Linked DNA regions of Caenorhabditis elegans. The protein of the gene in region 1 purifies or fractionates together with the protein of each later gene. This does not show direct contact. Each region holds a gene or a part of one and is shown on either strand. Other genes may lie near its edges.

The links.
Region 2: the proteins of dnj-30 (region 1) and smr-1 fractionate together in Caenorhabditis elegans (co-fractionation; one large-scale study listed by BioGRID). This does not show direct contact.

What each region holds. Positions count from the first base shown.
Region 1 is NC_003279.8:2,709,866-2,727,295, forward strand, and holds dnj-30 (J domain-containing protein), read right to left. Parts: upstream 11,611-17,430; 5' UTR 11,605-11,610; coding exon 11,575-11,604; intron 11,126-11,574; coding exon 10,805-11,125; intron 9,403-10,804; coding exon 9,239-9,402; intron 8,465-9,238; coding exon 8,263-8,464; 3' UTR 8,162-8,262; downstream 1-8,161. Other genes in the region: lin-17 (Frizzled-4), read left to right, coding at 55-201, 1,256-1,540, 2,574-2,683, 3,986-4,207, 4,255-4,543, 4,863-5,189, 7,365-7,490; Y71F9B.6 (Cyclin N-terminal domain-containing protein), read right to left, coding at 12,654-12,899, 13,862-14,302, 15,362-15,536, 15,893-16,042, 16,121-16,205, 16,274-16,401, 16,453-16,610, 16,664-16,786; snr-7 (putative small nuclear ribonucleoprotein G), read left to right, coding at 17,153-17,281, 17,335-17,430.
Region 2 is NC_003281.10:1,137,794-1,153,664, forward strand, and holds smr-1 (Tudor domain-containing protein), read left to right. Parts: upstream 1-5,378; 5' UTR 5,379-5,396; coding exon 5,397-5,522; intron 5,523-5,600; coding exon 5,601-5,678; intron 5,679-5,743; coding exon 5,744-5,840; intron 5,841-5,908; coding exon 5,909-6,033; intron 6,034-6,386; exon of another isoform or gene 6,387-6,475; intron 6,476-7,057; coding exon 7,058-7,351; 3' UTR 7,352-7,418; downstream 7,419-15,871. Other genes in the region: acsd-1 (2-amino-3-carboxymuconate-6-semialdehyde decarboxylase), read left to right, coding at 1,277-1,336, 2,202-2,303, 2,572-2,658, 4,025-4,390, 4,884-5,057; cdh-12 (Cadherin domain-containing protein), read left to right, coding at 14,251-14,314, 14,968-15,128, 15,626-15,871.

The DNA.
Region 1 (17,430 bases):
AAACATTTTTAAGGGTTTGGACCGGAAATCCTAAGAAAAAATTCGTACTTTCAGCTTCAAACCCACACGGAGCACTTCAAGCCGTTGATGAAAACAAAATGCCATCCACACATTCACTTCTTCATTTGCTCCGTTTTTGCTCCAATGTGCCCGATTGGAATGCCACAGGCCGTGACAAGCTGCAAATCCGTTTGCGAGCAAGTGAGGAAGAAAGTGGCCGAAGTTTTTATTTGGCGGCCACGTAGTAAAAGTGGAAAAATATTGGGATGGGTCAACTTTCGGACAAGTAGCTTTTTAGGGTTTAACAGAAAATCCAAAACTTTCCGAAATGAAAAAATTTTTCTCAATTATTTAATTTTGCGAAAAAATTTTCAAAAAGTTTTTAATATTTTTTCATATTTTCTTTAAAAATTTAGTTTTTAGAAATTGGCAAAATAATTTTAAACAGTTCTATAAAATCCAAGTTCGAGCCAAAAATCTAGAAAAGTAATAGCTAAAACTGACAAAAAAGAAAGTTCGCTTGTCCGAGAGGACTACACAAACCATAAGTCTCTGTTTTTTCGGGCAATTTTTTAAAAACTGTTTTGTCTTGTCAAAAGTTACATGAAAAAGGAAAAAATCGTCTAAAACCCGAGAAAATCCCTTGAGGGGTAATTTGAAACGGGGGATGTGGAAACGCGAAAATTAGAATAGGAGAGGGCTAATTTTTTTTGAGAAGGTTTAAATGGATTTTGTGAAATTTTGCCATTATTCTACAAATTATCATATTACAATAACAGAAAACTTACTTCCTAGGCTTAAACTAGGCAAATCCTCCGCGTTTTCGCATCCCCCAAATCTAACATTCCTCTAAGAGACCTCACGCTTAATTTTCTGATTTTTACGTCATTTTTAGCAGATTGTAACCAGAGCCTGTCATAATGTTACCGTAATGTCTTAAAATTTCCTTTTTTTCGCAAAAACCGCTCGATGCACCATGTTTCAAGCCAATTAACTCCACTTTTTTTGCAATTTCTTATTCTCGAATTTCCAAAGCAGCAACACCTGTTACTCGCAGCTGTGTGCTTTTCCCCCAATTAGGTGCTCTGCTCCACGGCTCATTACGTGCCCCTGGACAGGTGGACATCAATCATAATAGGAGCAGCAGCAGCAGCAAAAGTTGACTGTCTTATTGTAAACATCTGGCAGATGGGGGGTCTTGTAGGGCGGGTATTGTTTACCCTTAAGATTAACACACTAAAAAATTTTATTGCAGGTGAAAGCGGATTGCTTCTCGATATTGGAAGAATTCGGGATTGGATGGCCGGAGCCGCTGAATTGTGCACAATTCCCAGATCCACCGGAGCTTTGCATGAAGCCTACGGAAGACGAGATAACTGGAGGATTTTCGGCTCCCCGGCTGCCTACAAAAGGCTCGAGCTCATCATCCTCCAAGCCAACCGGGTGCCCCAGTGACCTTGTCGATGTGGATCCACACGATCCCAAGTCGCATTGTGCATTCGCGTGCCAGTCGAATGTGATGTTTAGTACGGATAATAAGGTGAGTTCGGATGCCTGGTGCCTGCCTGCCTACAAGGCCTACTGTAGCAAACTTGCGCGTCAAATTTGATGCATTGAACCATTCACCGAATTTGCTAGAATTAAGAGGCAATTTTTGTCAATAGAGCGGGTTTGCATTGCATTCCAATTTTGCAGAATAAAAGCCCCGCCCATTTCATGGTTTTTTCCAGAATAAAAATTTTAAAATATGCTCAAATTTCAGGAAAAAAAACCATTTTGTGGGCGTGTTCTATACACCCCCGCCTTTTTATGAGATTTTAAATTCGGCTTCCGGAAAAATCCAGAAAAATAAGCTCCGCCCATTTCATGGTTTTTTTTTTCCTTCCAGAATTCGGTTTTTGAAAATAGCTTGAATTCCAGAAAGAGGGGGAAAACAAGCGCCACCCATTTTGGGGGCGTGGTCTATAAAACTCCTATTATTAATAATATTAGGTTTTTAAGGTTCGGTGTCCAAAAAAATCGATAAAAATAAGCTCCGCCCCCCATTTTCGGGGTGTGGTCTGTAAAAGTTTTTTGACATTTGGCACGTGGTGTCAGGCTGTCCATTACTATTTGATCTACAAAAAATGCGGGAATTTTTTGCCCAAAAAAATATGACGTCAACACGTAATTAACCATACGAAATCAGTTGAGAACTCTGCGTCTCTTTTCCCGCATTTCTTGTAGATCAACGTAGATCAAGCCGAAATGGGACTCTCTGACACCACGAGATTTGGTTTTAAAAATCGATTTCCAAAAAGTTAGCAAAATAAGCCCCGCCCATTTTTGGGGCGTGGTCTATTAGACATATTTTATGAAGGAAGAAATTTTTGATTTTCGGAAAAAAAATTTTTAATTTGTTTAGCTCATTTTTGACCTATTGAATATGCGGCAAAAATTTAGAAACTTTTTTTGCGCGTCAATTCAGGTGTATTATACGGACCTAATGCATCAGATTTGACGAGCAAATTGAAAAATAGTGGGAAATTCAAATTCCACCCCTCATATGAAGCGATCATTACTATTAATTACAGCGTATGGTACGTTCATGGTCAATTTGGTTTGCCGCCGCAAACGCCGGCGTTGCTCTTTTCTCCTTCTTGACGTTCGCCATCGACCGAAAGCGATTCCGTTTCCCGGAGAGGTTTGTTATTATAAAAATGGGGGTCCTCTGGTGGACGAAAAAAGATGAAAGAAAGATACAATGAGAGAAGAAGCCAATAAGTGGGTAATGACGACGAGATGAAAATGAGTCACTTGGGGAAAAGAGGGTTGCAATTGGGAACCAAAAATCGTATATTTTTCCTGAAAATGGAAATGGGAAATAGGGTCTTACCGCGAAATATTTTATTTTACAGTAAAATATATTGTAATTTTAAAAAAACAAAATCAAAAATTGGCAAACTAAACATGGTGCATTGCGACATTTTGACGAAAATGCACTTTTAGAAGATTTAACGAAAAATGAACAAATTTTAATGAAAATCCAATTTTTAAGATCAAAATTTCATATTTTTTAAGGCTCAGAACTAATTCTCTAATGGTGTTTCACAAAATTTTGCTTTGCCGGTCAAATATAGACCAGAATTTTTGAAAAAAAAACAGCTCTCGATGCACCATGTTTCACCAGCAAATAGATTTGGACTCTAGCAAATCCTCAGCAAAAAGGTAAATTGCCGGAATTTATATTTCCGGTAAGTCGGCAAACAGGCAAATTTCAGTTTTGCCGTTCTGCTGAAAATTTTTGGCAAGTTGTGATTTTGTACTTTTTGAAGTTTCAGATTTTTTTTCTTTTAAATTCAATTTTAATCGGTAAAATTTTTAAAAAAAAGGCATCCTATCAATGTTCCTACATCTATTTTGAAAAGTAAGCAAATTCTATGAAAATATCTAAAATATAGAAAACGGGAAAATTTTTTTCAAAACGGCACAGTTTTAAGTATTTCGGTTTTATAAAAAATCCATCTAAAAATTTCCGGCAAATGGAAAATTGGCAAATTGCCGGAGTTGAAAATTTTTGGAGAATCGGCAAACCGGCAAATTTGCCGGAATTGGAAATTTTCGGCTAATTTGCCGGAATTGGAAATTTTCGGCTAATTTGCCGGAATTGGAAATTTCCGTCAATTCGGCAAAACGGCAAAGAATTTTTTGCCGAACGGCAACTGCCGCCCACTCCTGATAGAAACTCCTTCCAAAACCATTATAGGCAAGTTTCAGAAAGAAATTACGCGAAAAATCAGACAAAAATCGTTGGCCGAGTTTTTGCTTTTTCTAGGCCACGTAGAAAAATCAATTACCTGTATTTTTTGTTTTTATATCTTGGAAGCTCCTGATTCTCAAAATGATTTTAAAAAACAAATTTTAATCAGCTTTTTCTTTTAACTTTTTGAACAAATTAGAGCATACTGCAAATCCTGGAGAATCTAAAATTCCAAAAAATTTCCAGATGCGTCTTCTACCTATCCCTGTGCATCTTCATCTCCTCCCTCCCATACCTCACGCCACTCTTCATCGATGCTCCGATCCGATCCTGCCACGCACTTGGAAACGGGCGGTCATACCTGTCAATCGGAACATTTGACAATTCATATTGTCTTGCCTCATTCCTTCTTAACTACTTCTTCAGTACAGCGGCTGCCCTTTGGTGGTTAATGTTCTCATTTACACTGTAAGCCACTTATTATGTCAGTTAATCCCACCATGGGAATATTGTAGGTATTTGAGCGGTGGAAGGAAATGGGTGCCAGAAGGTATCGAAGCATGCAGTAGTTATGTGCATTTTGTTGCCTGGGGATTGTCGTCGCTGGCCACGATTATTGTGCTCATTTTCAACAAAGTCGACGCGAGTGAGCTCACCGCTCTTTGCTCCGTTGGGAATTTGAATTCGATTGCGTTGCTCTGGTTTGTGATTGTTCCCCGAACTATTTGCATTGTTATTGGAACATGTTTTATTGTTGGAGGATTTGCGAGCATGTGCAGAGAGAGAATTAGTTTCAGAACAAGGGTGAGTTTTATTAAATGGCCGAATTTTTTATCTCTTTTTCTAGGCCACTCATTTTTGAACGATTTTTGTGCGCTAACATCGATGCACCATGTTAGAAAATATAGAAATTACCTATTTTCAGTAATTTTTTCTAATTTTTCTAATCTAAAATATTTTTATAAAGTCTTGAAAAAGCTTGGAAAAAATCTGAAAAATTAAAAAAAATTTCAAAAATAGACTTACTCATCCGAGACGAGCTCAAAAATCAACGCTGAAAAAAAAATCCGCATTTTTCGTAGATCACACCGTAAAAAAATCAATAAAATTTATCGATTTTCAGGGCACAGACACATCGAAATTGGAGAAACTAATGGTGAAAATGGGCTTCTTCTGTGCTTTATTCATCCTTCCCAACGTCATCGAACTTGTCTGTCAATGCTATAAATTCATGATTCTCACCCAATGGACCCGAATGACAATTGACTGTAAACAACAGTCAGGTGCATGTCATCGGCCGACACCGCCGCAGGCTGAAATTTACATGACCGCCGTAATTTCCAGTCTCGCCACAGGATTCTCGTGTCTGATGTGGGTGTTGTCGGCGAAGACCGTCCACGCCTGGAAGAACTTCATCTTCTGTGGAATGTGCTCGTCGGCGCCGGTTAAAGTGAGTAAGGAAATGTGCTCTATTGAAAATTGCTTGACTGACTTTTTGTTAGGAAGAGAAACAAAAATTTGTACAGTTACAGTTACAATACAGTTTGAAAAAAACATTTCCTGATTATTACGGTAACATTAAATTCTGAGAATACGTATTGCACAGCACATTTGACGCGCAAAATATCTCGAAGCGAAAACTACAGTAATTCTTTAATTTACTACGGTAGTGCTTGTGTCGATTTACGGAAATCATTTATTAATGGATAATTTTTTTAAAGTAAACACAATACCGAAAAAATGTCACAATTCATTTGAGATCCCGTAAATCGACACAAGCGCTACAGTAGTCAATTAAAGAATTACTGTAGTTTTCGCTATGACATATTTTGCGCGTCAAATATGTTGTAATATACATTCTCAGAATTTTGTATTATTTTGCTACAAAATGAGAATACAGGATAAATTGAATATTTTTCGCAAAAAAAGCGGATAATTCTAAATTTTGCTCGTAAAATAGAACGCATCGGACGCAATTACACCAACTTGACGCGCAAAACCAACAAAAAATTCTGAAATTGAGAATTTAAGCCCGAAAAAATCGTTTTTAAATAGTTTTTTATGCATTTTTTTTTGGAGGAATTGCTAAAATTGTTTTACAAAATTTAAAAAAAAAACGGTACTTGTGTATTACATGCCCTCATTTTAATGGTAATTTTTAAGCCATGAAAAATAAAAACGTGAACCACAATTTGTATTTCTAGGCTTACAAGGGAACCCCGCACTTGATCCGTGGAAAGGACAAAGAAAAAGTATACCAATCGAAAGTTCATGTTACTGGCTACTCGAAAACAAAATAAAATTCTGCCAGTTTTGCCTATAAATCTGAAATTTTTGCGTCTGAAAATTGGTCTTTGCGCCTCTTGATTTTCAATACTTTCTCACTGTCTTTCGTTGAAAACTATATTCTCACGTGTAAAAAAGGCTACACAAAAGTTTTACAACAGCGAACACCGATTGGATGGCCGAGTGGTTAATGCTATTTTTTATAAAACATCTTGTCTTTGAAGCTATGCAGCTCCGTTGAAAAAAATCTCACAAAAAAGTGATCAACTAAAAAGTTGTAGATTATGACTTCATCTAAAACTTTTCAGATGAACACTTTTACCAAAAAAAATTGGTTGTCGAGCTGGAAACTTTTGAAAAAGAGCTACAACTTTTTAGAATATTCTAGAAAGTATAACGTCTATATCTCGACAACCAAATTTTTTTGGTGAAAGTTTTTCACTAAAAAATTCTAGATGAAGTTATAATCTACAACTTTTTAGTTGATCACTTTTTTGTCAGATTTTTTTCAACGGAGCTGCATAGCTTCAAAGACAAGATGTTTTATAAAAAATAGCATTAACCACTCGGCCATTCAATCGGTGTTCGCTGTTGTAAAACTTTTGTGTAGCCTTTTTTACACGTGAAAATATAGTTCTCAACGAAAGACAATGAGAAAGTATTGAAAATCATGAGGCGCAAAGACCAATTTTCAGACGCAAAAATTTCAGATTTATAGGCAAAACTGGCAGAATTTTATTTTGTTTTCGAGTAGCCAGTAACATGAACTTTCGATTGGTATACTTTTTCTTTGTCCTTTCCACGGATCAAGTACGGGGTTCCCTTGTTAGGAAAAAAAACATTTTCTAAGACTAAAGAGGAAAAATGAAAAATGTATATGGAGAAATTAATGACAATTTAATTTAATTTGAAAATGAGGGCATGTAATTCACAAGTACCAAAAAACAATCTAAGGTGAGTATTTTTCGCAAAAAAAAGAAAATTTTAAATTGAGAAATTCCTTTTAAAAAAGCTTTTCTTTTTGAAAGCAACCAAAAAAACACAGCAATTATTACAGAAATACAAAATTCTGAGAATGCGTATTGCACAACACATTTGACGCGCAAAATATCTCGAAGCGAAAACTACAGTAATTCTTTAAATGATTACTGTAGCCCTTGTGTCCATTTAAGCGCTACAGTTGTCATTTAAAGATTTACTGTAGTTTTCGCTTCGAGATATTTTGCGCGTCAGATATGTTGTGCAATACGCATTCTCAGAATTTTTTTGCTTCCGTAATGAACCAAACTTGACGCGCAAAATCCAAAATTTTCACTTAAAAATTTCGCAAATTTTTCAGAACCCAATCGAGCCATCAACACGTCCATTGCTCGAGCCACCAACTGCTCCGCCACCACAACCACCGGTATACATGCAAATGGCGACGAATCCTCAGAATTCATGGAGACCCAGTAAGGTCGTCTGAGCGAGATTTTTCCGCGCCCATTTCATCCCAATTTCCCATGACAAAACCGATGATCTTTATATTATTTTTTGTTTGTTTTTAATGCATTCAACCATCATTTCTTCTCTCTTTACTTTTGATTTACGGGTTTTTTCTACTTTTTCCGAAATTTTTTTTCTTCAAGGAAACTATAATAAAAAATTTTTCACAAAAAACTTGTTGAGATTTTACACAATAATGCAGAGGTGGGCGGCAAACGATTTTTTTCCGGCAAATCGGCAATTTGCCGGAATTCAAAATTTCCGGCAAATTGGCAATTTGCCCGAATTGATATTTCCGGCAAACCGGCAAATTGCACGAATTTAAATTTTTGGCAAATCGAAAAATTGCCGAAAATGAATATTTCCCGCAAATCGGCCAATTGCCGGAACTGAAGTTTTCGGCAAATCGGCATACTGGCAATTTCCCGATAAAAATTTGCCGAACGGCAATTCCACTCTTGTATTAATGATGGGAATACGTTTTACTTTTTACTTTTAAATTTGGTTTATCGTTTTTTTTTGAATTTTCAAATAAATTTGGAAAAAATTGAAAATATCCGGAAATTAAATTTAAACAAAAATTAAAACTTCAAAATTTCCAGTTTTCGTAATTTTTTGGAGGTTTTTAATGGTTTTTTTACAAAAAAAATTCGAATAAAATAATTTTTTACAAAAACTTGTTGAGATTTTACACAATAATGATGGGAATATAATGAATGAGAATAAATAGAAAAATTCAAAGAGATCAATAATTATTTCTGAAGTTTAACTTTCGGAGGTTTGAATGCTGCACCCTTCAACGTCTTTCCCTTATCCTCTTTTTTCGCCTTTTTCGCCTGGAAATTTCTCCAGCTTCCGGAACGTTCGTCACGAGATTCTTCGTAGTTTTTCGCGAATTCTTCGGCCAGTTTACGCTTCTCTGCTGCTTGGACTAACGCTTCAGTTGAGCGGCGTCTGAAAAATTTTTGTGATTTTCTTAAAGGCAATTTTTGAATGCAAAAAATTGTTTTCAAATGAGTTTTCAGAAAAATGTAATTTTTAATACAACATTTTTTAGAGCAAAATTCGAAACTTCCCAAGAAATTCTAGATTTTAGATATTTTAACCCGAAATTTTGAGGTTTTCCGCTTTGGAAAATGAGAATTACCAATTATTGTATTTTTCTTTTAAAAAAGTCGGATTTTTATCAATTTATCTTATTTTCTTCAAGGATTTTCAGGAAAACTTCAAAAAATATATGGTTTTGATATAAATAAACCTGAAAATTTTCAGAAATTTTTGGCAAATTCAATTTTTTTTAAATAATTTTTTTCTTAATATCTGTTCAATTTTTGCATTTTTTATTAAAAATTATTCAGTTTTTTGAAATAAATATCTGAAAAATCAATTGTATTTTATTTTTCTTAAAATTAAAAAAGTTTTCTTAAAAAAGAAACAGTAAAATTGCCAAATTTACTTTTTTTTTAATTTTTAAAAAATTGTTTTACATTTTTTACTTGATTTTAAGCAAAAAACCAAAAAAATTACAAAATTAATTTTTTTAAATTGGAATTTTTCTTCTTTTGTTTCTTCTGAAAACTCGGATTTTTGTGATTTTATCTCAATTTTTCTTTGTTATTTCCGATTTTTCTATTCCATTTTTTTTCAATTTTTTCAATTTTTTTCAATTTCTAATTAGAAATTGATCCTAATTCGGTTTTTCTCCAATTTACTATCAATTTCCCGTACTTTTCCTCATTCGCCCTCTCTTCAAGCATCTTTCTCTTCTTCTCTCGATCAGCAAACACTTTTGTTACAGTAATCCACAGAGCTTTCTTGTATCCAGCTGGATCATCTTCTTCAATCACATCTTCTTTTCCATCTTTTCGCAATTTTCGCTTTTTCTCCGACATCTGGAAGAAATTCGGTTTTTTTAAATGAATTTTTGAGAAAAAAAATATACAATTTTTGATTTTTGTTAACGATCTTGGAGGTAGGATTGCACAGTCTCCTCGGCGTCGAATTGGGCTGGGGCGCACTTGCTCACACCTTGGCGCAGCCGGGGGAGGGAGTGAATCTTTTTAGTGTTGAAAAATAAACTTCGTCGTTTTTTAGCGTTGAAACGAATTTTTTCGCAGATTTCGAACTTAAAATTTGTTTATTAGCACAAAATGAAATGAAAGACCATTAAAAGAGAAAATTTGGTCAAAAACTGAAGGAGGAGTAGGGATATTAAAAAATCAACGGTAAAAATGGTGTTTCTCTAAAGAAATCATATTTTTCTTGTATATTTCAAGTCACCCACCTTCGCGATCATCTTCTTCATCCTGAAGATAATTATCAAAAGAGGCGGGGCTGTAATTTTGGAATTCTAGCCTATTTTCCGCGTAATTTCTGAATTTCGGAAAATCCACAAAATGCGCTAGCAAAAACGCGAAACGCGCCAGTAAGCAGTTTTTTGTGCGCTTTCGATGACGAGGAGACTGTGGATTGTGGTTTTTTTTTGGTTTTTTTCAACAAAAAAATTGAAAAATGTATTTTTTAAAATTTTATATATATATATATATTCCCTCGAATTTCGTTCACTTTTCATAATTTTTGTATAAAATTACAATTTTTCTTCGAAGAAACATAATTTTTTGATTAAAATTTGCTTCAAAAATTTTTTTTTTTAATTTTTAGGATACAAACTAATTTTTTTCGTGGTCTTGGATTTTCGAGTGAATTTTAAAAAAACAATTTTTACAAAAAAACGAAAAATTTCCGAATTATATGAAATTTTTTGCGAAACTACGTTTTCTTCACAAAATAATCAAGAAAAAAACGATTTTTTTCCAAAAAAACGTTAAAAAAGTAAATTTTTGATAATTTACTTTTTTTCAATTTTTTGGAAAATTATTTTTAAAATAATACGCTTTTGGTTTATATCAGTAATTTTGTTTTTTTCTAGTTTTTTTTCCTCATTTTTTGAAGAAAAAAAATATAAAAAATAATTGTCTTCAGATTTGTTCAAAAAATATTTTGCGAAAATTGCAAATTTTTGGCTTTTTCTATTTTATTTTCACATCAACATAAATTAGAATTTTTTTTGTTCATTTTCTAAAAAAAAATTTTTTTGGATTTTTCGATTTTCAGTGAAAAACTACAAAATAATGAGAAAAATGGGATGAATTTTTGTGATTTTTCTTTCGTTTTTTTTGATTAAAAAATCGAAAAAAAAAATCCAAATTTCGGCATTTTTTTTTTCCAGAAAAATCCAATTTTTTAAAAAATTTTCTCAGAATTTCCATGCAAATCTTCATAGTTGCTCCGTACCACAATAGCAAGCCGAGCTTTTCCCTCCGTATAACAATCTTTGCATCGATTCAACTCAATCGGATCCTCCATTTGCTTAATCGCCTTCTTCACAATATCAAAAGCTTTGTCAGCACGTTCTCGATCATCTGGATTTTTATCCGGATGCACAAGTAGTGAGAGCTTCTTGTATTTCTTCTTAGCCGCCTCGATATCCGTGTCCAAATCGATTTGGAGCACTTCATATGGGTTAAGGTTCAAATATGTGGAACCGGGCTTCAAAAGTCGCTCGATTTGTTGCTCAGAAGTAAGAGCCGCGTCCTGTTGCTCCGTGGATTTTAGCTGGAAAAATTTAAAAATGTTTTTAAAATTTTTAATGGTTTTTTTCAACTTTTTCAAAAAAAAATTGGTTTTTTTTCAAATTTTTCTCTTGAATTTAAAAATTTTTGAGAATTATTTTTGAATTCCCGCGCATTTTCTGGCCATATTTTGTGGTTTTTCTTTGGATTTTTAAAAATTTCAGCCAAGTTTTCTTTAAAAAATAAAAATTTTATTTGGAATTCGCGATTTTGAAGCCAATTTCAAAGTTTTGGCGAAATTTTATTTTTTTTATAGTTTTATAATTGATAGCCAGCTGAAAAAACTCGCTAAAACTTCAAAATTGGCCCTAAAATCGATATTTCCACATAAAATTAATATTTTTTCGCGGAAAACTGTCTGAAAATTCGAAACATTCCAGAAAAACCAAGAAATGTACACTTTTTTCAAATTTTTTGAAAAAAAAAACTTACATCCTGATAAAATGACTCAAACTGGGACATTTTTTGCTGGAAAAAATTTTTTTTTTAAAATTAGATTTTAGGAAAAATATTAAGGAAAAAAATATATAGACAATAGCGACATTCAACGCAAAAAAATCGAAAATCTGAAGAAAAAATAAGGGAAAAAAAACCAAATTTATTAAATTTGAAAAATGTCGACTAGAAATAATCTCAAAAGGGTCATGGATTGAGTACATAAAAACTAATTGCATATTATTTAAACGCGGAAAAATCCGTATTTTAAAACCAAGTTGCAAACGCGCTCCTCTGCTAAAAGTTGGGTCTCGTTAGAAATGGCGGCCAAATCTAAATATTTTTAACAATTTTCGATGATTTTCACCTCGAAACCAACGAAAAATCATTGAAAACTTTTGAAATTACGGTTTTCTCGCCAATACTTAAAGGTGGACTACGCTCAGTGGGGAAATTGCTTTAAAACATGCCCATGGGGCCACAATGACAGAATATCATGATAAAAAAATTCAAAAAAATTTTCTAGATTTTATGATTTTTTGAAAATTGAAAAAATCACAGTTTTCAACCAATTATTTTTGAATTGAAAATGATTAAAACTCTGATATTCTGAGTTCCGACGACAACAAGCCTGAAATTAGTATATTCACAGTTTTACTCATTTTCAATTACTTTTTAACAAACATTTTGCGTTTGTCTTTTTTATTTCTTTCATTTTCCGAGGAAAAAACATAGAAAATGAAGAAAATCAGTCAAATAACGAGAATAAATAAAATTAATTAATAAAAATAATGCAAGCGCGCTCAATCGAACGAATCCGATTGGTGGAAATTCAAAAATAATTAGGTGAAAACTGTTATTTTTCCAATTTTCAAAAAATTATATAAAATCTAGAAAATTTTTTTGAATTTTTATATCATGATATTCGGTCATTGTGGCCCCATAGGCGTGTTTTAAAGCAATTTCTCCACTGAGCGTAGTCCACCTTTAAGGAGACCCAACTATTATCCGTGGAGCGCGCTTGCACCACGATTTCAAAAAAGCACATTTTTCTGCGTTTACATAATAACAATATTTCACATCTCAAATTGCAATCTATCTACATGTGGTTGAATCTCATCAATTGTTGGCTGAAGCCTGAACTGGAGCACCGAGCAAATTGGAAGCTCATAAGCCAAAAGATCGGATTTCGGCTCGCGGAGCTGATCTTCGGCCTGTTCGATGTACGATTTGATCGTAGACTTCTTGTAATCATTCATTTTAAGGGCGACGAGGAGAGCGGCTCCGGCGACACATTTTCGATTGACTTTTGAGATTAGACCCTGGAAAAAAATTGATTTTAGATTTAAATAGATATGAAAATCTCAAAAAAATTGAAATTTAAAAAAAAACCAGCTTTGATAATAATTATAAACTGATTTTAGCTTAAAATCGACTATAAAATATTTTAAAATTTTTAAAATTGCCTACAGTAACCTTAAAGGCGCATACCCTAATTGCTTTACAAATTTCGCGGCGAGACCCATCCTCCTCCAAATGTGGCCTCCCTGTAACCATTTTCAGATTTTTTCTTGAATTTTCCGACAGTTTCTCAAAGTTTAAGCTTTTAAATAATTTTTTAGACGTAATTTATGCTATTTTCTATTTTTCGTTGCATTATGTCGATAATAAACTAAAATTAAAGTTTTTTGGCCTAAAATTCGCTCTAAAAATTTAGATTTTCTCTGGAAAAAAAGATTTTCGATTTAAATCGATTAGAAACTGTTTTAAAAACTTAAAATTGTCTACAGTAACCTTAAAGGCGCATAGCTTAATTGCTCAACGAGATTCGCGGCGAGACCCATCCTCCTCCAAATGTGGCCTCCCTTTAACCATTTTCAGATTTTTTCTTGAATTTTCCGACAGTTTCTCAAAGTTTAAGCTTTTAAATCATTTTTTAGACGTAATTTATGCTATTTTCTATTTTTTGTTGCATTATGTCGATTATAAACTAAGATTAAAGCTTTTTGGGCTAAAAGTCGCTCTAAAAATTTAGATTTTCAATGGAAAAAAAAGATTTTCGATTCAAATCGACTAGAAAATGCATTTAAAAAGTTTGAAAATTGCCTACAGTAACCTTAAAGGCGCATAGCTTAATTGCTAAACGAGATTCGCGGCGAGACCCATCCACCTCCAAATGCGGCCTCCCTTTAACCATTATCAGGTTTTTTCTTCAGATTTTCGCAATTTTTGAGCTTTTTAATCACTTTTTAAGCTTAATCGTTGCAATTTCGTTCTTTCTAACCTTAAGAATAATTTTCTCAAAGTACACATAAGCAGTTGCCACCGTATACACATCAATTCCATTCGAGACCCCAAGTTCTGCCATTTCTCGCTTCAAACTCTTCATTTTGCTCAATGTCAGATGAATCATTGGGTATTTCGCCTCGAAATCCTCATTTATCACTTGTTTCGCCCTCTCCGCCGATTCACAATGAAGTGTGCTTGCCACGCAACACTCGTGACGGATTACAGTCCGTTTTCCGATTCCCAACTCGGAAAATGCGATCGGATCGTACTCATCGATGACTTCTGATGATGGTTCATCTGATCGGCTGGCGTCTAAATCGCATTTTTCATCGATTGAAGTTCCACGTTCATAGCTTGAATCTCGATTTACGGCTTGTGGAACTTCGATGGTTTCCGCAAACATTTCCTCCGAGGTTTCGCCGTTTCGGAAGCTTTCCTGTAAAAATTTTCGATTTTTTATCAACTTTTCACCTAAAATTCACATTTTAAGACTCAAAATCTGCTCAAGTGAACGAAAAATTCCGAAAAAAAGGTTTATTTTAGTGAAAATCTTCAATTTTGCCAGTTTTTAAGTTTCATAAATCCATTATTACAGACCTTAACGGTGGAGTAGCGCCAGTGGGGAAATAGCTTTAAAACACGCCTATGGTACCACAATGACCGAATATCATGATAAAAAATTCAGAAAAATGTTCTAAATTTTATATGATTTTTTGAAAATTGAAAAAATCTCAGTTTTCCCCTAATTCCTATTTGAATTACCGCCATTTGGATTTGTTCGATGGAGCGCGCTTGCACGTTTTTAAATTAATTTATTTTATTTTTTGTTATTTTCCACCGATTTTTAATGTTTTCGGTGTATTTTTGGTGGAATTTTAGAGAAAAAGTCAAAATAAATGCAAATTTTTGATTAAAAAGCAAACAGGCGTAAAAATCAAAAAGTAACGCTTTTAAACGATTTCGAACCTGAATTAATTGATTTCACTGATTTACGCCTGTAAGAGTGCTTTTTAATTGAAAATTTGCAATCATTTTGACTTTTTCTCTAATATTCGAGCAAAAATACACCGAAAACATTAAAAATCGGTGGAAAATAACAAAAAATAAAATAAATAAATTTAAAAACGTGCAAGCGCGCTCAATCGAACAAATCCAATTGGCGGAAATTCGAATAGGAATTAGGCAAAAACTGAGATTTTTTCAATTTTCAAAAAATCATGTAAAATTTAGAACATTTTTCAAAAATTTTTTATCATGATATTCGGCCATTGTGGCCCCATAGGCATGTTTTAAAGCAATTTCCTCACTGGCGCTACTCCATCTTTAAACAGTACGAAAATCAACGATATAAAGTGAAATAAACGAGCAAAATTTGCAAAAATACGAATTTTCGCCTGCTACGACACGAAAAACTCGGTAAAATTGAAGATTTTAGCTAAAATTCGCCTTTTTTCCGCGGATTTTGAATCTTAAAATTCAAAATTCAAAGCCTCACCCTCCGCTCTTTCCTGGAAATCGAGGCGGGCGACTTGTCGAACAGCGTGAAAAACGGCGAAGGATTCCGCTTTCGGCGAATCTGCCCCAGAATTACTTGATCTTCAGCGTCTCGGAAGACAAATGGCCGCAGCTCTTCTGTTGATAAGTGAGCCTGATGCCGCATGCGATCCGAGCTGGAAAATTGGATTATAAGGTGAAATTATGGGAATTTATCGTATTTTTTCAAGATTTTGACCTAAAGGCGCACGGATTTTTAGCAAATTGCAGCGTTTTTTCTTACTTTCTGCTGAAAATTTGCGTTGTTTTCCTTTTTTTCGGTCTGAAAACTGAAAAATTTAACAAAAAAAACTACCACATGCTGTCTTTTCGCGTCGATGCACAGCTGAATAAACCCATGTGCCTTTAAGATCGCATAGCCGAAATTTCTGAATTCCTGCGCTTTTTTTGTGAAATTTTGTTAGATAATTGCCAGTTTTCGGGGAAAATTAGGTAGAAGATATAAATTATAGAGGAGATGTTAATTCTAAACCTTCCAAAAATCGATTTCGATCGGAATTTCTTCTTATTGACGGTTGTGTTGGCGAAAATCGGCGCCAGCGGATCCACGTAGTCGCTGTTCGGCGAGATATACGAGAAAACTGCCAGAGGCTGGCCATTCGTCGAGGTGCAGATGTAAAATCTGAAAATGTGGGTTAGTTCGCAACACGGAACGGTTAGTGTGGGGGATTTTAGAGGATTTTATGATGGTTGAACTCACCTATCTGCATGGGTAATGGTGCTTTTGAGCCTTCTCAGAAAACTGAACTGATTTGAAGAACAAGATGGTGATTCTGAGCGAAATTCTGTGAAAATTTTGAATTAATTTATTTTATTTCAAGTTTTGTAAGCTTTTATAAGCTCGCCAGCTCACCAATCAGCCCACTATCTTCTCTCCCGACGCCTTCTTCAAGAATCGGAGATCTACTGTTTGTGGCGGTCATTGAATAGATCACGTCGTCGGAGCTCATGATTTTCGCGATTCTTCGGAAGATTGAAGTTCTATAAATAGAGAAAATTAATTAATTATATTGATTTTCAACTAATTTTCACTTTTTCTGTGGTGTCTCCGCGTATTCCTGCGGCAAATTCGACGAGCTTAGCCGTTCTCCGAGTGAAGCGGATGTTCCGAGTGAGATCACTGATTCATTGTTGCGGATGGTGGTTGTGGAGCTTGCGCCGTTTGAAAACTTCTTTTCCGTTGGAGATATCTGAAAAAATTATCAATTAGTTACGAAAATCGCTGAAAAACCAAGATTCTCACCTTCGGAAGGCCTTTTGTTTGGAAAATTCGAAGATTTGTGTCATTGTGGCTTCCATCAACACTGATATTTGATAAGAAATTTTGTGCGACGAGAATATGATAGTTACTCTTCTTTTTTACCATCTAAAATTGGAAAAACGAAAAGAAAAAGCTCGGAAATCCGATAAGAATTGTGTGAGTACGGTGTGCAAGCGTCTGCAACTTGTCGTCATTTATGGTGTACCAAGCGTGGTGTTTGCGTACTATTCGAATTTCGAAAAATAATTTCGTCGATTTTAGCCTTTTTCATCCAATTTTCCTGATAATTATCATGTTTATTCTTTGAAAAATTAGTTAAAAAATGTTATAATTAATGTATTATCTGAATTTTCGATAGGTGGAAGTTGAAAAATGAGCTTTATTTTCTATTTTAAGTAAAATCTGTTTCTTTGATGATTTTTCCATTCTTCATTTTCATTTCCCCCTGCAAATTCTCAATTTTTCAGAAAAATGAGTAAGACACATCCACCAGAGCTCAAAAAGTACATGGACAAGGAGATGGACTTGAAGCTCAACGGAAACCGTCGCGTCTCTGGAATCCTCCGCGGTTTCGATCCATTCATGAACATGGTCATCGACGTATGTTTCTTTTTCCGTTTTTGTCTAATTTATTCTAAAATTTAATATTGCAGGAAGCTGTCGAGTACCAAAAGGACGGAGGATCCGTCAACCTCGGCATGACTGTCATTCGCGGAAACTCCGTCGTCATCATGGAGCCCAAGGAGAGA
Region 2 (15,871 bases), on another chromosome or scaffold:
TTTTTTTCAATTTTTCAACTCATTCTCAAAAAACCGGATACTTAACCAACATTTCAAGCTAAAAATTTTAACAAAAACTCAATTTCTGAAAAAAAATTGATTTCTTGAAAAAAAAAATCTGAAAATTGGAATTTTCAGCTGGTAAAGTCTTGGTCTTGGGGTAGCTTTTATGTCGCCATGTTTTATAATAGTTTTTTTTCTGGAAAACCGAAATTTTCACCTATATTTTAAGCTAAAATTCACCGAAAAAACTTGGTTTTGAAAGAAATTATGAAATTTTCAAATTTTCAAAAAAAAAAATTTTTCGAAAAAATTTTTTTTGCCAAAATTTTCAAATTTTGGTAATTTCTTGGGAAAAAGTGTTCCAAAATAAAATTTTAGGCAAAATTCATTTTTTTTTAAACATATTTTTACATTCATTTTCATATTGAACCAGTAATAAATCCAGAACTTTTCAACAAATAAAAGTTCCAAAATTTTTATTTAAATTTTTTTGAATTTTTCTACAAAAAAACGTCACTTTCAATTAGCAATGCAAACGTGCTCTATTAAACTTTTCACCAAAAAATTCAAAAATTCAGGGGGAAAATCCTGGTGTGAATAATTTCACAGAAAGTGGAAAAAAAAATTCCAAAAAAATTTTCGAAATTTTTTTTCCCTTTTTCCCACGGTTTCTATGGCAACTTTGGGAATTTTATGATGAAAAATAAAAAAAGAAAATAAAAAAATGAAAAGATTAAGAAAAAGAGCACATGAATCTTATAATGATTGGTTGTGCTCCCGGCTCCCCGGCCAAAAGGGGGAGGGGCGTGAGCAGGAAGTTTTCTAGGCGGAGAGCACAAAAAAGAGCACATTTTATTTGTTTGAAGTGTAGGCCAAGAGCCAGGAGCACCTAAACTTCAATTGAATTTGAACGGCCTTTAGATTGAACTTGGAAGAAATTGCGGGAAAATTGTAAAAAAATGTTGTTCGGGAAAATTGGGGTCCCGCCACGAAAAGTCAAAATGACAAGATATTTTTGCGTATTACAAAAAAAGAATCACCAAAAAATCTTCAAAACAAACAAAGTTACACAATTTTGAAGTTTTTGGAAAGAACTTTTTTTTTTTGGAAATTTGGAGTCCCGCTACGAAAAGTCCTGGGGTACTGTAGTTTTTGAATTTTCAGTTTTTATGTTTTTTAAATCAAGTTAACAGGATATTTTTGCATATTTCAAAAAAAAAATCACCAAAAAATCTTAAAAACCAACAAAGTTACAAAATTTTAAAGTTTTCAGATTTTTGGAAAAAGAATTTTTTTTTTTGAAATTTGGAGTCCCGCCAAGAAAAGTCCTGAGGTACTGTAATTGCAGGTTTTTTAGTTTTACTTACATTTTATCAAATTAACACGGTGTTTTTGCATATGTGAAGCAAAAAATCATCTGAAAATCTTAAAAACTAACAAAGTTACAAAATTTTGAAATTTTTAGGTTTTCGGAAAAAAATTATGAAAAAAAAATATTTTCAGAATTTTGATAGTTCAATTACTGAAAACTGATACTTTGTAAATTTTCAATTTATAAGTTTTTCAAAAAAAAATTATTTTATAGAAAAGTTCTGAATTAACTTTGTAATACGATACTAAACCAACAATAAAAAATTTTTTTGTTAAATGTTTTTTTCAAATTTTTTTAAATTTTAAAACTCTCAATAAGGCTTAAATTTTGAGCTTATGCTTGGCCTAAAATAATTTTTAAAAAACACAAAAATTGAAAACTACAGTACCCCAGGTTTTCGTGGCGGGACTCCAAACTTCAAAAAAAATTTTTTTTTCCAAATTTCAAAAAAAAAATTCAAATCTTTGTAACTTTCTTAGTTTTCAAGATTTTTAGGTGATTTTTTGCTTGAAATATGGAAAAATATTTTGTCAATTTATTGAAAAATTAAATACAAACTGAAAAAATCGGAACTGTAGTTCCCCAGGACTTTTCGTGGCGGGACTAAAATATCGCAAAAAATTTTTTTTTTCAAATGTTCAAAACCTCATAACTTGGCAAATTTTAAAGATTTTTAGCTAAATTTTAGCTTAAAATAAGCCTAAAATAATGAGCTAAAAATTAAAATTATCAAAAAGTTTTATTCGTTGAAAATCTACCAAAAAGTATAATTCTTCGTGGCAAGACCTAAAAAAAATTTTTTTTTCAAAAAATTCCAATTTTTCAGGAAGTCAAAAGATGCGTCTCAATGGGTATAAAAGGATTTGAAGTTGGTTCCCACGTGGCAGAAAAATCGTTGGATCATCGTGATTTTTGGCCGCTTTATAAGGTTAGTCGACAGCAAAAAAAAAGTACGAAAATCAAAAATTCTGCGTCGCCGCCTCCGGGAAAAATGCGCGGTTTGTAGGGCAAGAAGGGGCGGAGCCTATCATTTATTCATCGTTTGACGCACATTTTATATACCCGCCGCTGAGCTTTTTTACCCGGGGATATAGTTTGGAAAATTAGAAATTTAGAGGGGGAAAAATGGGAAATTGTGGAAATTGTTTTTCTCAATTTTGAGATTTTTGAATTTTAAATAAAAAAATTGAATTCAGCTCACCGAGAGCTTCAAATTAAGTACCATCATGCCTGGGTTCTGTGAATTTTTCGAAAATTGGGGTCTCACAACGAAAACTCCAGGGGTACTGTACCTACAATATAAAATTAAGTTTTCACATTTTTTATGATTTTTTATGATGCACTGAAATTTTTCTAAATTTTATGACTAAATTGAGATCCAAGCCGCTAAAACTGACAGAGTTATTGAATTTCGAAAAATTGCGAATAATTTTTTTTTCAAAACTACAGTATTTTTCTTTCTTTCTGTGCATATCGTGGCGAGACCCACAAATCTATCTTGTTTGAATTCAGCTCACCGAGAGCTTCAATTTGAGTACCATCATGCCTAGGTTCTATAGATTTTTGAAATTTTTGGGTCTCGCCACGAAATCAATCCGGTTACTGTACCTGCAGAAGCTGACCTAGATTTGACATTTTTACAGTGTTAAAACACAGATTCTGTATGACTTCCTACAAAATTTGTTTGGAAATCTCTAAAACTCACAAAGTTATCGATTTTCGAAAATTTTCGAATTATTTTTATCTCAAAAAATTTCAAAGCTACAGTAATTCTGTGAATTTTGTGGCGAAACCCACAAAACTATGTTTTCTGAATTCAGCTCGCCGAGTCAGCTCGCTAAGTACCATCATGCCTGGGTTCCGTGAATTTTTCGAAAATCGGGGTCTCACCACGAAAAACCCCGGGGTACTGTACCTACAGTAGCCAACTGGAGTATAACATTTTTAAGATACAGAAATATAATTTTCCTACATTGTAAAACAAAATTTGTTTGGAAATCTCTAAAATTGGCAAAGTTATCGATTTTCGAAAATTTTCGAATTAATTTTTTTTAAATTGAAACTACAGTGGCATAGCGAATTCCGTTGCGAGACCCACAAAAATATGTTGTATGAAATCAGCTCACTGAGAGCTTCAATTTAAGTACCATCATGCCTGGGTTCCGTGAATTTTTCGAAAATCGGGGTCTCGCCACGAAAAACCCCAGGAGTACTGTACCTACAGTAGCCAGCTGGAGCATAACATTTTTAAGATACAGAAATATAATTTTCCTACATTGTAAAACAAAATTCATTCAAAAATCTTAAAAACTGACGGAGTTATAGATTTTCGAAAATTTTCGAATTTCTCAAAAATTCAAAGCTACAGTAATTTTGTGAATTTCGTGGCGAGACCCTCAAAACTTAGATAAATGAATTCAGCTCATCGAGAGCTTTAATTTAAGTACCACCATGCCTAGGTTACGTCGAATTTTAATTTTCTGGGTCTCGCCACGCGGGGTACTGTAGCTCTAGTTTCAGCTGTGTCGAAGCTAGAAAATTCAAAATCGCCTGATTATAGTCATGATGGGTGTCATTTGAAAGCTCTCGGCGAGACGAATCCAGCTAAAATATTTTCAAATCAAAAAAAATCAAAAATCTAGTTTTCAGATTTGCGAGGAGCTCTCGGTGGTGCTCTTTGTGCATCCTTGGGATATGCACATGTGGGACGGGCGGCTGGACAAATACTGGATGCCATGGCTCGTCGGAATGCCATCTGAAACTGCTCAAGCCATTTGCTCAGTGCTCATGGGCAACATTTTGGTGCTCTTCCCCAAGTTGAAGCTCTGCTTTGCACATGGGGGCGGCGCCTACCCACAGATTCGTGGCCGAGTTTCTCACGGATGGAATGTTAGGCCAGACTTGTGTGCTGGAAAGTGTAAAGTTGCTCCGAATAAGCTCGATGGGCTACTGTGGACGGATAGCTTGGTTCATGACCCAAAAGCTCTCGAACTGCTGATAAATACCGTTGGAAAGGTGTGCAATTTTGATTTTAGAGAGTTCTAGATAGAAAATTCGAATTCCCCGCGTCGTCAGCTTTCAAATGACGCCCATCATGACTATGCTACGTTCATTTTGAATTTTCCTGTTTCGACACAGCTGAAACTGGTGCTACAGTACCCCGCGTGGCGACACCCAAAATTCACAAAATTTCGAAAACCTAGGCAAGATGGGTGTCAAATGAAAGGTGTTAATGTGCTGAATTCAAAAATTCAAATTTTTTGGGTCCTGCCACGAATTTGCAGAAGCTGAGGCAAGTTTTCGTGGCGAGACCCAAGAAATATTGCGAAATCTGTCAAACTTGACGAAAACTAGTTGATATGGGGCTTATTTTGAAGCTCTTGACTTGCTCAATTCAAATTTTAACTTGAAATCAAGAAATTTGTGGTCTCGAAGCGACAATTTTCGAAAAAAACTTGACATTCGCGAGAAATCCGTCAATTTTCATCATTTTTTCTCAATTTTTCAGGAGCATATAGTGCTTGGCACCGACTACCCATTTCCGCTTGGCGAGCTTGAAGTTGGAAGAGTTGTGGAAGAGTATAAGCCATTTTCTGCCAAGGACAGGGAGGATTTGCTGTGGAAAAACGCTGTAAAAATGCTGGATATCGATGAAAACTTGCTTTTTAATAAGGATTTTTGATCATTTTTTGGTTTTTATTGATTTTTATTGGGACATGTTGGGTTTTTATTGGTTTTTAATAAAGAATTTAGACTTTTTGTTCGAAAAACGATGTTTTCACATTCAAATACCCGCCGAAAACGAGAAATGCGCAAGAGTGGGGTTGCTGGCGCAATACTCGATTTTGCTGACGCGTTTCTCGTCTTTTTGAAAATACATTTTATTTCATCGATTTTCGCCGGATTTTCGCCGGTTTTTCTTGATTTTTCTTGATTTTTTGCCATTTTTCAGTCAAATTTCATCGTTTTTCTCGATTTTCTTGCCAATTTCCAGCATTTTCAGTGAAAAAATAGCGGAAAAATGGAGGAAGAGCTCGCCTCTTACAAACTTCAGCTCCAGCAGGTCGAGGCGGCTTTGCTCGGCGATCCGACGAATGTGGAGCTTCTCAAGTTGAAGGAAGACCTCGGGGAGATTATTTCGCTGCAGGTAGTGTGAAAAAAAGCGGAGAAAATGCAAAATTTTCGAAAAAAAATCAATAAAAACTGATTTTTTTCCAATTTTCAGGAAGATTTGGCGGAAACCGACAAGGCAGAATCATCAGAGAGGGCTGTGGTGGCTCCGCAAGTGATTCACAAGTGGACGGTACGGATTTTCAGCGAAAAAACCCCGATTTTCGCCAATTTTTCAGCTAAAAATCGATTTTTCAGGTCGGCGAACGAGTTATCGCCCCACATCCCGACGGAAAAAAGGTTTTCGCCAGAATCGACTCACTTACGCCCGCCGGAGTGGCTATTACCTTCACATGTAGGGGGATTTTATCGATTTTTAGCCCAAAAATCGTGAATTTTCACCAAAAATTCGTATTTTTTCAGCTACCGGCACGAAAACCATCGTAGATCCCGCTGATCTCCAACTCCCGCCCGAAAATCAGCGAAAAAATTATGCATTTGATAACACAAAGTCGGCGGCCGGACCATCGACTCAACACGGCAAAAAGGTTGGAAAAAATGGAAAAAATTCCTTGTTCTTCTGTAAAAAACCAGAAAAACCCCGTTTTTGCAATATTTTTGAGCTAAAAATCGCAAAAATCACCAAAAATTGACACTTTTTCAGCTTTTATCGACTATTTTCTGCAGGAATTTCTAGAAATTGACGTTTTTCCGGATAAAACGGCTTTTTTCGTGAAATTTTCATCGATTTTTTGGACTTTCCGGGGTACTGTAGCTCCAAAAGTACGCAAACACCACAAGTCTTACGGCAAAATGCAGAAATCTTGATTTTTCACATTTAAAGTGATTTTTCTCAAATTTTCAGTTGGAAATCGAGTTTCTCACTCATTTTTACCCCTGGAAATCGGTTTTTTGCACAAAATAGATTGGTGGCCTAACTTTTGGGATTTCTAGGCCACCAATCTGAAAATGATGGTTTTAAGCCATTTTCATCGATTTTTTTTGGATTTTTATGTCAAATATAGACGATAAAAACGATTTTAAACTGAAAATCGCAAAATTTCTAGTTTAAATCTCTAGAAAATCCCAAAAATCGATATTTCCGTGACTCATGTGCTTCTACTCGGATTGATGGCATAAAAACTGTTTTTATTTACATTTTCAGTCTTAAATTGGCTGAAAATGTAGGTAAATACCGTATTTCTGCCAACAATTTGACAATAAAGCACATTTGTCACTCGGAGATGCGGAAGCTATGCCCAAATTTTTAATTTTACCGAAAAACTCGTAATTTTCACAGATATTCAGCCCAAATATCGACTTTTCCATCACTTTTTACCCCCGTAGCCCGTTTTTCAGCCAATTTATGCAAATTTTCGTAAAATTCGGTGCCTAGGCGGTGTTTGCGTACTTTGGCGCTACCGTAACCCTCGAAATTCAAATTTTGAGCTATAGGCCCTGACAAAGGTCCATTTGGGGTAAAATTAAGCGGAGAATTTGAATTTTAGCATGAAAATTGCTGGAAATTGCTGAAAAATTCAAAAAAAAAATCAAATTTTTTCAAATTTCCAGGAATGGCAAGCAGAAAAGGAGCGCCGACGTCAAAAAGCGCTCAAAAAACAGCAAAAACAGAAGGAGCTCGACTCGATAAAGGATGGCGAGAAGAAAAGTTGGCAAAAATTCAACACAAAAGCCAACGCGAAAGGTCTGAAGGGCCTGAAGAAGGTTTCGGCGACAGGATCAAGCCAGGATGGCTCGGCGAGCAGCAGCGGCGGCGGCGGAGAGAAGCGAGGAACGATCGTCTCGTCGAGAAGCTCTCAGTTCATTTTTAAAGCCACCCGTGGAGCTATGGATTCACTTTTTTGAGCTCTCTTGTATATCCGATTTTACTGTACTTTTTTTGTGTTCTTGATATAATAAAAACTCGATTTTTTCCCGGAAATTGTGAAAAAATGCCAAAAAACACTTTTTTTCGGACATGGTGGATCGTTTCAGGTGTCGGGGGATATGGTCGGGTACTGTAGGAGTACGGTAGGATTACTGTAGTTTGGGAAAAGTTGGCTTTTTTGTCTTTTGAACGGACATTGGTTTAGGGTTAGTGGGGGGATATGGTCGGCGTACTGTAGGGGTACTGTAGTAGTACTGTAGGAGTACTGTAGGGGTACTGTAGTAGTGCTGTAGAGGTACTGTAGTAGTACTGTAGTTAGGGATAACTTGACTTTTTGTCATTTGAGGGGATATGGTCGGGGTACTGTAGGGGTACTGTAGGATTACTGTAGTTTGGGAAAATTGACTTTTCGTCTTTTGAAGGGATATTGGTTTGAGGTTAGTGGGGGGATATGGCCGGGGTACTGTAGGGGTACTGTAGGAATACTGTAGTTTTGGAAAAAAGTGTTTTCGTCTTTCGAGGGGATATGGTCGGGGTACTGTAGTAGTACTGTAGTGGTACTGTAGTTTGGGAAAAATTGACTTTTCAAGGGATATTGGTTTGGGGTTAGTGGGGGGATAAGGTCGGGGTAATGTAGGATTACTGTAGTTTTTGAAAAAACTGACTTTTTGTCATTTGAGGGATATTGGTTTGGGGTTAGTCGAGGGATATGGTCGGGGTACTGTAGTAGTACTGTAGGGGTACTGTAGGAGTACTGTAGGGGTACTGTAGTAGTGCTGTAGTAGTACTGTAGGGGTTCTGTAGGGGTACTGTAGTTTTGGAAAAGGTAGGATAACTGTGGTTTGAGAAAAATTGACTTTTTCGACTTTTGAACGGATATTGGTTCAGGGTTAGTGGGGGGGATATGGTCGGGGTGCTGTAGGAGTACTGTAGGATTACTGTAGTTTAGGTGCATTGAAGAAAGGTCTCGAAAGGTTTTTTTTTTCAAATTTCCGAAAATTTTGGAAAATTTTGAAAAAAAAAACATCAATGTTTAAGGAAAAATAATTTTTGAATTTTGAAAACTGTTAAAATTTGAGCGTAGGTGCAAATTTTGAGCTTCAATGCACCATGACCGCGCCAAAACCCGGCGGTGGCCTAGTTTTTGCAGTTCGGCCACCGCGGGGGTGGACCAAAGGAAAATTTTTTGCGAGTTAAAAATCAGAAAAAAAAATCAATAGTAGTACTGTAGGGGTACGCTAGGAGTACTGTAGGAATACGGTAAGATTACTTTAGTTTTGGAAAAATTGTCTTTTCGTCTTTTGAAGGGATATTGGTTTGGGGTTAGTGGAGGGATATGGTCGGGGTACTGTAGGGGTACGGTAGGATTACTGTAGTTTTGGAAAAATTGTCTTTTCGTCTTTTGAAGGGACATTGGTTTGGGGTTAGTGGAGGGATATGGTCGGGGTACTGTAGGGGTACGGTAGGATTACTGTAGTTTTGGAAAAATTAATCCTTGAATTTTAACACTTTTGAAAAAATTCCAAAAAATAAACATTTTAACGCGCTTTTTAGCCGTGAAATATTTAAATTCGCGCCAAAAATGCCTGTTGTGATTGACAATTTTCCAGTTTCTTTCCAGGAAAACTCGGCTTTCTGATCATGGTGCATCGATCAGACTGTCTCCAGCAGCGCCTGAAGAGGTGAAAACTAGCCGAAAAGTGAAGATGGGAGGCTAATTTCTAATCGGTGCGCGCCTTTTACTCGTGCGTTTTTCTTATTATTCTATTATTATTTCACTAGTTTTTCCATTCGCCCGCCGTGTGTACATATTAGCCGCCGCCGGCTAGCTAGCGGATACGTAATACCGTTCCACTTTTTTTCGTTTAAAATATAATATATTTGCCAAAGTTTGGAAAAGGTTTGAAAATTCGAATTTCGCGCCAAAAAAATGTATCTCAAAAATTTGAAGTTGCCGCCGAATTTGATAGATTTTTAGCTAAAAATGAAGTTTTCCGGCATATTTCCGTTCAAATTTTTCACTGGAAATTCAAATTTTGTAATAGCACATGTTTCACCATTTGTTGCACCGCCACGGTGGCCGAGCTGCAAAAACTAGGCCACCGCCGGGATTTGGCGCGGCCATGGTGCATCAAGGGTCAAAACTTGCACCTAATTTTTAATTTTAACGAAAACACAGAACCCCTACAGTACTACTACAGTACCCCGACCATATCCCCCAACTAACCCCAAACCAATATCCCTTCAAAAGTCAATTTTTCCAAAACTACAGTACTCCTACAGAACCCCTACAGTACTACTACAGCACTACTACAGTACCCCTACAGTACTCCTACAGTACCCCTACAGTACTACTACAGTACCCCGACCATATCCCCCGACTAACCCCAAACCAATATTCCTTCAAAAGTCAATTTTTCCCAAACTACAGCATTCCTACAGTACCCCTACAGTACCCCGGCCAAATCCCTCCACTAACCTCAAACCAATATCCCTTCAAAAGACGAAAAGGCAATTTTCCCAAACTATGCATCAAGATGCCACCATGTTCGCAAAACTGGCATTTTTTTTCACAAATTTGGTGTAATTTTCAGAAAATACCGAATTTTTTCTGTTGGAATTTTTTAAAAACTAATGTTTTTCGTCAAAAAAAGTGATATACCCCCTTTTTCCACAAACACAGCTTCACCCTCCCCACATCACATGAAAATTCCTCGAAAATTGGCGGGTCACAAATCCTTTCCCCCAATCATCAATTCGTGACTCGTTATGCAGTTTTTTACCCACCCGTCCCGGCGGCTACTGATCACATACACACTCACGGCGGATGAGAATTCCTTTATCAGTTCTCGATTCCCCCGATGCTTTTCACTTTTTTCCTCCTCGCCCAGGAGAAAACTGTACGGCGCCCCCGATTATCCCCGGCGCTGATAAGAAATTGAAAGTTTGAAGATTCAATCACTTGAGCGCCGGAGATTGTGTGGGAAAATGGGTAGATCAAAAAAAAAAGGTGGGGTGGGGCCTGTTCCAGTCCGGATTAGCTTATTTCCAAGCTTAGACATTTTCGTTTTCTTCGGTAGTAGTAGTTGTTTTTTCCGACTTTTTACACAATTAGCATCGGTAAAAAAAAATTGTCATTTTTTTTTCAACTCTTTCTCTTTTTCTCTCAATTTTTTTTTAGTATCAGAATAAAGTTATCAAAAAAAAATGTAAATCGGCAAATCGCCAAATTGCCGGAATTGAAAATTTCGGGCAAACTGGCAACTTGCCGGATTTTAAAATTTCCGGCAAATCGCCAAATTGCCGGAATTGAAAATTTCGGGCAAATTGGCAACTTGCCGGATTTTAAAATTTCCGGCAAATCGTAAAATTGCCGGAATTGAAAATTTCCGGCAAATCGGCAAATCGCCAAATTGCCGGAATTGAAAATTTCCGGCAAATTGGCAAATTGCCGGAATTAAAAATTTTGGGCAAATCGGAAAATTGCCGGGCTTGAAAATTACGGGCGAACCGCCAAATTGCTGGAATTGATAATTTCAGGCAAATAGGAAAATTGCTGGAATTGATAATTTCAGGCAAATAGGAAAATTGCTGGAATTGATAATTTCGGGCAAACTGGCAACTTGCCGGATTTTAAAATTTCCGGCAAATCGCCAAATTGCCGGAATTGAAAATTTCGGGCAAATTGGCAACTTGCCGGATTTTAAAATTTCCGGCAAATCGTAAAATTGCCGGAATTGAAAATTTCCGGCAAATCGGCAAATCGCCAAATTGCCGGAATTGAAAATTTCCGGCAAATTGGCAAATTGCCGGAATTAAAAATTTTGGGCAAATCGGAAAATTGCCGGGCTTGAAAATTACGGGCGAACCGCCAAATTGCTGGAATTGATAATTTCAGGCAAATAGGAAAATTGTCGGAATTGAAAATTACCGGCAAATCGGCAAATTGCCGGAATTGAAAATAACTAAAATTTCGGAAAATGGGCAAACTGGCAAATTGCCGGAATTTAAAATTTCCGCCAAATCGATAAACCGACGAACTGCCAGCGCGGAATTCAAATTTCAACACAAAAATGGTCAAAAATTCAAATTTCGCGCCAAAATCCGATCACAAAAAATTGCCAAAAAGTACCAAAACGTGCCAAAAAATTGCCAAAAAATTGCCAAAAAGTGCCAAAAAATTGCCAAAAAGCGCCAAAAAGTGCCAAATTTTTAGGCCGGTTTTTTTCGGAATTTTTTGAAATTAAAAAAAAAAGCTCAAATTCAACAACTTTTTTCTTTGAAAAATAGGTGTTTTTTAATTTAAAATTTTCCAAAATGACCGAAAAATTGTTGCAAAAATCGTTTCGAGACCTTTTTTCGATGCACCATGACCAAAAATCTTGTCCTTTCTTTTTTTGGTGTTGCGGTAAGGCGATAAGTATCGTTTCCCCCAAGCATCCATCACTGGATGGAAAGGAAAGATACCCGAAAGGGGGGAAGATGTCCTAAATTAGTAACACACATTGTTTTATGTAGGTCTCCCTCCTCCGTCTCATTTCTCTTTCCATGCCCGTTTTCGATTTTTGTCATTGGTTTTTTAGGATAAGGTATAGGTTTTTTGAACTGAAATAGTTTTTGAAAATTCAGAATTTTCATGTAATTTAGGTTTTTGAAGATACTGTAGGATTACTGTAGTTTTGGGAGAATTCAATTTTCGAGCTTTTAAAGATTTCCGAAACGTTTTAAAAATTGACTTTTCGTCTTTTGAAAGGATATTGGTTTGGGGTTAGTGGGGGATATGGTTGGGGTACTGTAGTAGTACTGTAGGGTTACTGTAGTTTCGGAAAAAAGTACTTTTCGTCTTTTGAAGGGATATTGGTTTGGGGTTAGTGGGGGGGATATGGTCGGGGTACTGTAGTGGTACTGTAGGGGTACTGTAGGGTTACTGTAGTTTCGGAAAAAAGTACTTTTCGTCTTTTGAAGAGATATTGGTTTGGGGTTAGTGGGAAGATATGGTCGGGGTACTGTTGTGGTACTGTAGGGGTACTGTAGGGTTACTGTAGTTTCGGAAAAAAGTACTTTTCGTCTTTTGAAGGGATATTGGTTTGGGGTTAGTGGGGGGATATGGTCGGGGTACTGTAGGGATACTGTAGGGTTACTGTAGTTTCGGAAAAAGTACTTTTCGTCTTTTGAAGGGATATTGGTTTGGGGTTAGTGGGGGGATATGGTCGGGGTACTGTAGTAGTACTGTAGGTGTACGGTAAGAGTACTGTTGGAGTTACTGTAGAATTACTGTAATTTTGGGAAAGTTTAATTTTTGAGCTTTTAAAGATTTCCGGAACGTTTTCTGAGTTTTCGAAAGTTTCAGAAATTTGGAACTATTTTAGAAAATATTTTAAATTCTTCCAGAAGATATCCAATGTTTCCAGACTTTTCCGAAAAAAAAAATTTGATTTTTTTTTAATTTCCAGAAATTTTCTAAAACTTCTCAGAGTTTTTTGAAAATTTTCTAGACCTTTCTCGAACTTTCTAAACTTTTCTAAATGTTCCTAGAATTTTCAAAAACGTTTTTCAGAAGTTTCTTCAGAGTCTTAAAAAAAGTTTCAGAAAGTTGACAGAAATTTCTAGAATTTTCTATAAATTTCCAGAAGTTTCTAGAATTTTCTATAAATTTCCAGAAGTTTCTAGAATTTCCAGATTTTTCCAGAAAATTCCAGAAGGTTCTAGCATTCCAGAAGTTTCTAGATTTTTCCAAAAATTTTATAAAACTTTCCACAATTTTCTAGAAATTTTCCAAACCTTTCTCGAACTTTCTAAACCTTTCTAAAATTTTCTAGAATTTTCAAAAACGTTTTTCAGAAGTTTCTAGAACATTTAGAATTAAAAAAAAAGTTTAAGAAAGTTATCAGAAGTTTCTAGAATTTTCCACAATTTTCTAGAAATTTTCCAAACCTTTCTCGAATTTTCTAAATTCTCCTAGAATTTTTTAAGAACGTTTTTGTAAAATTCTAGATTTTTCAGAATTTTTTAACTAGTTTCAGAAAATTGCCAGAACTTTCTAGAATTTGCAGAATTTTATAAAAACTTTCCAGTTGCACTAATATTTTCCAGAACTTTTTCGACACTTTCCAATGTTCCAAAATGATTCCAGAAACTTTTTATAAACTTCTAAAAGTTCCAGAAAATTTAGAAATTCCAGAACATTTTCCAGAATTTTCTAGCAATGTCCAAAAGTTTTTGGAATTTTCCAGAAATTTCTAAAATTTTCCAGTACTTTTCCCGTTTTTTCAATAATTTTAAAACATTTCCAAAACTTTCAGTAAAGTTTTAAAAATTGTCTTAAATTTTCAAAAAATTCCAGAATTTCAAAAAGCTCTTCAGAAGTTCCTAGAACGTTCTAGAAGTTTTCCAAATTTTTGAACATTTTCTAAAACTTTCCAAAAATTTGCAAAATGTTCCAAAACCTTTTCAAAACTTTTTCCAATTTTTCCAGAAGCTTCTCCAAAATTATAGTAACCTTCACAAACAAGTACAAACGAGAAGCCCAGCTAATTTTTTTTGGAATTTTTAGCACTAATATGTGTTTTTTGAGTTGAAAAACAAAACTAGTCACTTTCTATTAACCTTGTACATGTACATATACATGTCCACTACTACACTTTTACTTGTCTCCGCCATATCCATTTCTTCACTTTTACCGTCGTCACCACCCATTAGCCCCCCGTCTCCTTTTTCACTTTTCCGACATTTTCCGTAAACCAATTAACACTGTGTGCGGTGGCTTTAGCGCAGAGGGTAATATGTTCCGACAACGGTTTCGGCGTTGAATTCTTATTTTTTATTTTTGGAAAAATTTGAATTTTTCATATAATTTAACTTTAAATTTTGCAGAAAAATGGGTCATGTTGGCCTCTTCATACTATTATTCGCAGTTTTTGGCACTTTTATAGAAGCTGTTGGTGAGTTTTTTAGGTTTAAAAAATTTCAAAAATTTGGGTCTCGCCACGAAACCCAATTGGGTTACTGTACAGAGTTCTATTATTTTAGTTTTTCATAAAGTTTCAAAGTTTATACAAAAAATCTCAAAAATCTCAAATTTGACAATGTTACCAATTTTCAAAAAAAAAATTATTGGGTCCCGCCACGAAGAGATGTTGGGTTACTGTAGTTTACGCACTGTTGTATCAAAATTTTATTTTTTACCAAAATTTGAAGGCTTATGCAGATTTTGAGCTGAAAATAATTTTTAAAATTTCGAAAATTTGGGTCCCGCCACGAAAACCTCTTGGGTTACTGTAGCTTTTTCATGAATTTTAAAAGTTTCCAATTTTTCTTAAAGTTTGACGGTTTTTGCAGATTTTTGGCAGAATTTCATCAAAATATCTGAAAATTCGAAAAAAGTATCATTGGGTCCCACCACGAAAACTTCTTGGGTTACTGTAGTTTTTTCACAAGTTTTCGAATAATTTTTTTTTTGCAAAATTGGAAGGTTTATGTATATTCTAAGCCTCAAATAATCACAAAATCTGAAAAATCAATGAAGCTACGAATTTTAGAAAAAAAAATCCCAAAAAAAACATGGTTCTTCTCAAATTTTTCAAAACATTTCCAGAATCCACCGCAAAGCCGCAATGCAAATTCACAAGCACAAACGGGTACTATGCACATGTTCCATCAAACCTGCCGATTGGTGACGTCATTTTCCGGGGTACGGTATCTCCGCCCGACGCCGAAATGATGATCGCTAATGTTAGATCGGACGCGTTCAAGGAGGTGAGTATTATTGATTTTTTTTTATTTTTAAAACTTTTTAACTAAAAAAACTCAAAAACTAGCAAAACTATCAAAAAATTGCCAACTGTAAAATTGTAGAGCTAACAATTCTGCACATTTTGTTAGTTTATAACTTTTCGATAACACTAATCTCCGCAAAGTTATCAAGGTTTAAAGTTCGCGCGCCTCCCCGCACAGTGAAATAGTGTGCGGAGGGGGGAGACGCAGACGACGATAGTGTCTGCGTCTCCCCCCACCCTGTGCTCTCTCGGCGCTTTAACTTTAAACGTGTGTAACTTTGCAATGGTAAGTGCTATCAAAAAATTTTCAACTAACAAAATGTGCAGAATTTTAAGCTCTATAAATTCCTTGTTGGAAAATTTTTAATAACTCTGCTAGTTATGGAGATATTTTAGTTTTTTTTGTAAAAATACGCCGTTTTTTTCTGAATTTTTTGAATTTCCTGCAAATTAAATATAGAAAAAATAAAATTTCAGACCGACTGGTCTGATCACCTAGTAATCGATAGATCCGACCCGGGCTCCTCAGCCACTTGGCTCGTCCGACTGTCTGCGTCTCTCTCGCTACCAGTCTACCCGTCAACACTAAAAGAAGCGAACCTTTTTGTGACAGTAATATGTAATGGATACGCGTATCCGTTATTCACCCTCCATATTGATCCAACAAATCGATTTGCTCCACAGTTCTATCATGAGCCATATGTGGTGGCAGTTGAGCCAAAT